2 linked regions of the Alligator mississippiensis genome follow. The protein of the gene in region 1 interacts with the protein of each later gene in a pairwise test. Links are inferred from orthologs where the notes say so. Each region holds a gene or a part of one and is shown on either strand. Other genes may lie near its edges.

What was found. The genes of interacting proteins can lie anywhere in the genome.
Region 2: the proteins of GLP1R (region 1) and CD81 interact in a protein complementation assay, tested with the Homo sapiens proteins (2 studies listed by BioGRID). The link is inferred for Alligator mississippiensis from reciprocal best matches to the Homo sapiens genes GLP1R and CD81.

The regions. Positions count from the first base shown.
Region 1 is NC_081824.1:171,750,139-171,753,884, reverse strand, and holds the start of GLP1R (glucagon-like peptide 1 receptor), read right to left. Parts: upstream 2,714-3,746; 5' UTR 2,653-2,713; coding exon 2,644-2,652; intron 1-2,643.
Region 2 is NC_081825.1:188,709,231-188,712,976, forward strand, and holds the start of CD81 (CD81 antigen), read left to right. Parts: upstream 1-1,382; 5' UTR 1,383-1,523; coding exon 1,524-1,589; intron 1,590-3,746. UniProt on the Homo sapiens protein: Structural component of specialized membrane microdomains known as tetraspanin-enriched microdomains (TERMs), which act as platforms for receptor clustering and signaling.

The DNA.
Region 1 (3,746 bases):
TTAAAATAAGTTTTATCATGAACAGGGCATTTCTCACCATCACTTGGCTCACTGTACCGGAGCAGCATAACCAGGTGGCACAGGGGCTAACCATTTCCTCACCCCTTGCCCATCTAGCCTATTGAGAGTAAAAGCACTCCAATGCAAGGACTATTCAATCTACTCTGTGGCTGCACAACACCCAGAGTCACACAGGGTTATTTTCAGCCCCTAAGCAGTATTTTAACTGAACAGGAGTAATGGAAGTGGGGGACATGTGAACTGAATGTCAAGACTAGCTCCCAGCAGCAAGACCTTAAGTGGCTGGACAGTCTGCTGAAGACTATGGTGAAAGCCCCATAGATCTGTACATTTAGACATGGACTAATCTAAAGAAAAAGAATCTCTTCATTGTCCCAAGGAGAGGCCATGTAGGGCCTTTAATGCTCACAATTTGACAGATAAAATACTATTGAAATTACAGCTAAATGGCAGTGAAAGCAAGTAAAAAGGAAAGAAAAAAAAAAATCTCACTTGCTACCCAAGTGTGTGTGTTCAAACCTACCCTGAAGGATGTCAGAACCTAGTAGCTGAATGCCTTTGGCACAGTGGAAAATCCCCACACAACAGAGAGTCCCGCCCAACGATTCCTCATCATTGACTGACCATGCGCATTACTCATTGGCCATGGGCAGCTCTTAACTAAATCCGCTTCATCAGTCATAAGTATCCACCTGCCGTTTTGGGCTACTGGCCATAGCTCCGATAGCCACCCGACCGCCACAAAGGACTCAGGCTGACTTCATTTTACTTCTCTAGCATATACATCCTGACCACAAGCTGTCTTGCCCTCTGACAAACCAAGTTCCCCATGTCTGCAAGCAAATAAAGTAACTTGCTAAGTGTCCTTCTCCATTACCATGTACTGGTGGTAACCAAAACAGCATCCTCAACTTGAAAGGAGTCCAGGTGCTCCAAAAACTGGATTACAGCAGAAGGTCATAAGCCTTTGTATTAAGTGTCAAACATTTAACCATGACATTTTAAAAAGCAGGCAAGACCATCTACCCGGATGGATGACAGGGGGACCATTTTGTGCAGAGATTCCCCTTCTGCTTTGAGAGCAGCTGCACATTTGATTTTGGCAGCTACTGAAATCATATGGACTATCACCCTTCCACAAGTCCTCTCTCCTTATGGTAGTTTTCCAGTTGTCACCACCACCTTCCCATCCCTTGCTGAAGCTCCTAACCTCATCTTTGCTTCCTCTCCTGGCCCTACAGCCTTTCTCCAAATCCTACTGCTTATTCCACAACACTCCTTCACCCCCCCCTCCCCCCGCTTTCCTTGCTGTTCCTACTACCAGCACATCCTCGTTCTGTCATAGAGTCGACAGAATGGCTCTTTCTGGCTTCTCTTATCCTCCCTCCAGAGCCCCTCCAAACATGCAACCCACTTCTCTTCCTTGCCCACTATCCCCTGCGCTCCAGCTTCATCTGCTGCTCTTGCTTCCTATGCCACATCCTATTCAGCTACAGCGCCTCACTGCCAGGGCTGCCACAGCAGAGGGGCAGTGCAGGGGCTGCACCATCACAGTGCCTAGCTCCCCCGGCTGCTCGGAGCTGTTCCAGGAAACCCAGACTGAGGCAATTTCTGTTTCCCCGCTGCCCACAGGCTTCTTAGCAGCTGGGAAACTGAACAGAGCCTCCCTCGCTTCACCTTGCTTGCTGCCAGAAGCAGTGCTAGACAGGTCAGGGCAAGGCAGCACTGAATCAGGTCCTCAGCCACAAAGGCTGGACTTCCCCACTGCGACTTGGAGTGCCACAGGTTTCCACAGGGACCTCCCTGGCTTGCCTGGGAGTTGCCACTTGTCAACAGCCAGGATCACAGAGAAGCAGGGCTGGAAGGCATCTCCAGAGGTCATCCAGTCTAGGCAGGATCAGCCCTCTCCAACCCTATGGCTTGGACAGGGTCTTCACTTGGGCTCAGTCCCCAGCACCTCCCTGTCAGCCCTCAGCTGCAGCACTTGCCCTTGTAGCCTCCAGCCCAGCTCACCTGGCCAAGGCAGTCAAGCCAGGCTCCAGCAGCGGTTCCCCACCTTTTTTTTTTTTTTTTCCAGTTTTGGACTCACCAGGCTGGTGGCCACCCACAGCAAGTGCCAGCTCTCACATCTCCCTCACTCTTGGGTTACAGCAGAGCTGCTCAGCCCCTGGCCTGTGGGGCAACAGCAGCCACAGAGGCAAGGCACCTGGTCTGTGGTGCGGGTTGAGAAATTGGGCAGCGGGGACCATTAATACAGCCCCTCTGCCCCACAGCCAACCTCTGCACGGCTGGAGCAGGGTCAGGCTGCCCCTCGCCCCGCTCCAGGGAGCCACTAGCCAGATCCCACCTGCAGACGGCCTGGGCACTGCCCATTCAGTTGAGCACTGCAGATCCGCCAGCCCAGCACCAGCAGTTGTGTGGATGCCACCCGCTCCCCGGGCACGGCAGGGCAGGGCAAGCACAACCAGGGCTCCCCAAGTGTCACAGGGTACCCCCAGTTGAGGATCCCCGGACCACAGCCCTGGCTGCGGGAGGGGGATGAGCAGCAGAACAAGGTCCCTGCCCCCGCCTGGGTCTCAGGTGTCACCGCGCCACCCGCCGGAGAGACTCCCGCTCACTCACCTGCCTCATAGGACCGGAGCGCGGGGCCAGAGCCGGCTGTTCTGCGCGGGGCGGGGCTGCGGAGTTGGGCTGAACTCGGGCGGCCGCTGCCTTTTGTAGCCAGGCGGGCGGGGGCTGCGGGGGAGCCCGGGCCCGCCCCGCCCGGAGGAGGCTCCGCCGCGGGGCTGCGGGCGGGGCAGAGCTGTGACCTCCCGGCCGGGCTCGCCCCCGCCCCGCCCTCAGGGCTCTTAGAACCTCCCCGACGCTCCAAGATGCCAAAGACCCTTTTGGAAGCGCGGGGTCCGGCCGGGCGCGGGCGCGGGGAGCGCAGGACCGCCCCCCTCAGCCCGGCCACGGCTTTGGCCATCCGCGTCTTCAACACCCCGGGGATGAAGATGCCGCCGCCTCTGGCCCCGCGCCGGCCAGTGCTTCACCACCCCCTGGTGACAGTGCGGCCAGCCTGTGGCCATGGGGCAGGCGTGAGGTGGCCGCGCGGCCCCTCTCTGGCGCCCTGCAGCCCTTCCCCTGGATTACCGACCCACTGCGCCTTGCTCCTATTGAACACTGTATAAGGGAGGCTGCCGGTGGGCTTTGAGTGTGCCTGAGCCCGTGCCGATCAGGGCCGGGCCCCTCAGTCCCTGTCCTGAACCCTCGAGCCAGTGGGCCCCCTTGGCCTGTCCACATCTCTGCCGGGCACCTGTCAACTTAAGGGCTCATTGCGTGGCTCCCTTCCTCCTCTACACTATGCCCCAAGCCAAGCAGGTGTTCTCTCTCTGGTGTTGTTTAGTTATACACTCAGCCCCTTGGGCCTTCAGACCCCCCTGGTCCTGCACGCAGCCCCTCCTCCAGGCTCCGGGACCTCTGGTCTCACATGCAGCCCCTCCTCCAGGGTCAAGGACCCTCTGTAGGTTCAGAATAAAACAATGGCCACCAGCTCCTAGGCCTGCAGGGTTGTTTATATCAACTCCAGTCCCTTCAGCAGCCCTGCTGCCAGGGACAGACTGTCTATTCGGCTCAGGCTGTGGACCTATGCAGCTCCAGCCTGAACCCTCCACTCGGGTGAGTCTCTCATTCACCCCTGTGCCACCTGCAAGCAGCTTCAGAGGCTGCTAGCTCCCTGAAAG
Region 2 (3,746 bases), on another chromosome or scaffold:
TGCTAAAGATGGTATCTTTTATTAGACCAACTAAGTTGCAAAAAAAAAAAAAAAAATCTAGTTGGTCTAATAAAAGATATTGCCTCTAGCACACTGACTGCTTGTTTTTGTACACCAACGCGGCTACAACCTATTGTGCGGGCCGGGAGCGGTCTGAGACCCTTGGGGGCACGCGGTGGGCTGTGGCCAGCAGCCTGGCATGTGGGTCGGGGAATGCAGGCCGGCGGACTAGAATTAGGCAAGGACGTGTAGCGGTTGATTAAAGATTATTTTACTTACACCGTAGATGGTTGCGGTGCAGGCAGGAGAAAACTTCGCTTAAGTTGCAGTTACAAAACTCGTACGAACAAGACCCGTAGACAAACTCGAGCCTCTTGAAATAACTCGGAAAGAGCTCTGGATACACACACGCAAAGTTTTCTAGGCTCCGTGGAACGAGCGCACAGGGAAGGGTACATCGAGGGATTAGGCGGTGACAGGGGGAGGCTAGAGATTGATCAGGCCCCTATATCCTTCTTAAGGCACACGCTGGGTTTGTTAGGCTCTGCAGCGCTTAGAGTTCTTCACAAGATGTGAACTCGTCCTCATCCTCCTCCAGATGGTTGTGAAGTCCTCCAACTTGGGCAGAAACCGCTCAAGCCACGTAGGAATAATTTAGAAACAGCCAATAGTGGGGAACAAATTTGCATGCAGGTGGCAGGAACTCCTTTGCACCGGGGTTTTCTCTTTGCAACTGAGAATTGCACCCTGCAAAGAAAGCTCCTCGTGGCGGGAAATAATTCTGCAGTGCTGAAGCACACACAAAATCATACCCTTGGGTTATGACACCTGTATCCACCAGAGCCTCAATATTTTGCTTTTTTCTGTAGTTGCTTATAGTCTGAGGGGTCTTTTGGCGGAGACTATTTTTCCATAAGCCTTCGTGGCTCATATTTGCTGGGTGACTGGAAAAAAGCAAGTGCTGTCTGGATGGTAGCTCCTCTCCCTTTCTGTGTTTGTGGGGTATGGATCAGAAAATACTTTTTTTTTTTTTTTTAAAACATATAGATAGATACAGCATCTAGGATAAGCTTTTCTTCACACACCTTAAACCATATTTAAAGCCTAGCACCTGTTACAATAAACACACCCACACACAGTCCTTTCCCTAATCCAGTTGCAGTCTCTTAGTCCTAGCCTCAATTTTGCGGTTTACAGTCTCAGTTCATTCACTGTCGTTGTCACTGCTGCTGTTCTATGGATGAGGACAGATGCACAGGCTGCAGAGAAATGAGGGGTAGATACCCCCAGGAGGCGGTAGCTTCCCTTTTAAGATGGCCTGTGCTTGGGTGGGCGGATTGCAGGGTGGGGGTGTCTCACAAGCAGGAGGAGCCAGAGAAGCAGTCCAGTTTTCTGCTTATGTTGTGCTTCAGCTCGAGGAAGAGAAGCTGTGATCAGGCTCTGCAAGAGCAGCAGCTCCATCTCACGCTCTGATTTATCAGGCCACAGCGTCCAGGCAGCTTTGCTTGCAGAAATTTTCAGCCATGGGAGTGGAAGGCTGTACCAAGTGCATCAAATATCTGCTGTTTGTCTTCAATTTTATCTTCTGGGTGAGTGCATTTGCTTGGGGTGCAGTTTTGCATGTGATTTAATGGCTGGGGAAAACGAAAAGGGAGTGGGGGTGGGGGGGGGGTAGAGAAGGAAAGGAAGGTGAATGTTATGTTTCAGCTTGCTCTCTCCTGCTCCTGGCTGGTGTCAGATTGCCACCAAAATAATGCAGCAGGCTCAGAAAGGAGCTGACTTTCCCATCCTCTGCAGGAGAGAGGCACAGAGCTTTCTTCTTTTTCCCTAGCAGCTCTGGGGGATGAGACCTGGGGAGGGAACAGCAGCAACCTTTAAGTGGAGAAGATGGAGGGGGGAGGGAAGATTGGCTCACCCCAAAAATGGGTGTTGCATTGATAACAGAGCCTAGCTTGCTCAGAAAACCAAAGCTGGGAACTATCTCTTCCCATCCCCCTCCCCAAAACCACTGCTACAATAATTGATTACAATAATTGAGTCAATTTGTACCACCCCCCTCTTTCTTTTGAAATGGCAAATGTGTTTGGTTTGCTGCGTGTGCAGATGGTCTTCAAACTTAATAAACCACCTGTGAGCTGCACTGGGAAAAAACAATGCTTGGGAGACAGCCTACTTGTTTGTCTGCTAGGTTGATGGGGCATGCCTCTGTGTTCAGTATACAGGTCTGCAGCCATATAATAATCGAGATTTAAGACACTTGGAAAGGTTTTATTTTTTTTAGCTCTGTGGTATGTGTTTTGGTTTTGTTTGTGCCTCCCCTTGGGTTCTAACTGATTGAAAGTTGAGACTCATTAATTGCCAAAATATATGAAAATGTAATGGAGGCCAGGGCTTTGGAGTTGAAAGTTGATCTTTCCTGGTCTTTCTGTCATGTCAAGAGAAAATGAGAACTGTGTCCTTTAAAGAGAAAATGCCAACTGTGTTCTACGTATACAGGCTTTTATATTCAAGGCCACTTGATTTTTGCCAAACTTTTTTAATACAGGCAGCAAATTTGGATCTGGACAATGCATGTAAATGGCTCGAAGTGATGAGAAATGGAGCTCCTAAAAATATGTTTAACCAGTGGTAGGATTGTTCTGTGTTTTGAAAGATGGGTGGAGTGAGAGATTGCAGCCTCTACATGGGAAGTGACAGTCTGTTGCTGTGGTTGAGGTTGCTATAGCTTGCTGCTTTGGAGATGTCGTTCTTGGAGGCTCTCAGATGTCACCCTTTCCTGCCGTCTGCCTCTTATGTGGAGAACAGTTTTCAGCCTGGAGGGTGGGGGTTAAAACTTGCTTGGTGGCTAAAGTAGGCGGATGATGGTGTCTCAAAAGAATTGGCCACTCCGAGCTACTTCCCACACTCCTCCCACCTATCCCTCCCTCCCTGCCTGGAGAATTTTGCAGGGACCACACCCCACTGCTCAGAAAAAGTCTTTGCCTCATCTGCAGGTTCAAGAGGGGTTTGGGTTTGTTGGGTTTTTAAGTCATATTCTGTAGTCAGTGCAAGTTGGGAAATATTCTTTCCTACTATTTGGAAACAAGCTGTCTTCCCTGTGTCTGTCCAGAAAGGGCATCCCAGAGGGCTCCAGCAATTAGGGGGGAGAATAGTCAATATACACAGCTTTGTTAATTCAGCAATTGGTCACATCCTTGCATTTCTCATGTGCGAACGTTTATAGATATGTAACCAGGATAAGTGTTACTGCCTAACTTATGATGAGCCACCCCCGCTTCTGGGAGAAATAATAGGAATTGGGGGTGGGGGGGAGAATGTCTTTTGTTCAATTTAGCTGTTTATTTTTCATATGTTTTTCCTCCCCCTGAGATTGCTGGGGAAGCTCTTGTAGCTAGCTATCATTACTGAAAAACAGTGGAAGCTGTTGCGGTCTTGTTGTAGGTTGGCAGTTCAGATAACACACAATTCTTGCACCTTTGCCAGAATGAGATAGTTGCTTAATACTTTCTTGACTGTGGCCCCTGGTTTTAGAGTTAATGTTTTCCGAATGTTTATGAACACATGGCTATGTCTGACCCTTCAGTCTACTTTTTAATCTGAGGTCACAGCACATCTGGGTGCTGATCGGACACTGCAGAGTGGCACCATTTGAGAGATGCAGTTTTACATTAGTTAGCAGGGTGATTTAAAAAAAAAACAAACCCAAAAAAATACCCTGTGGATTCCCATTTTCACTGAGTTCTGCA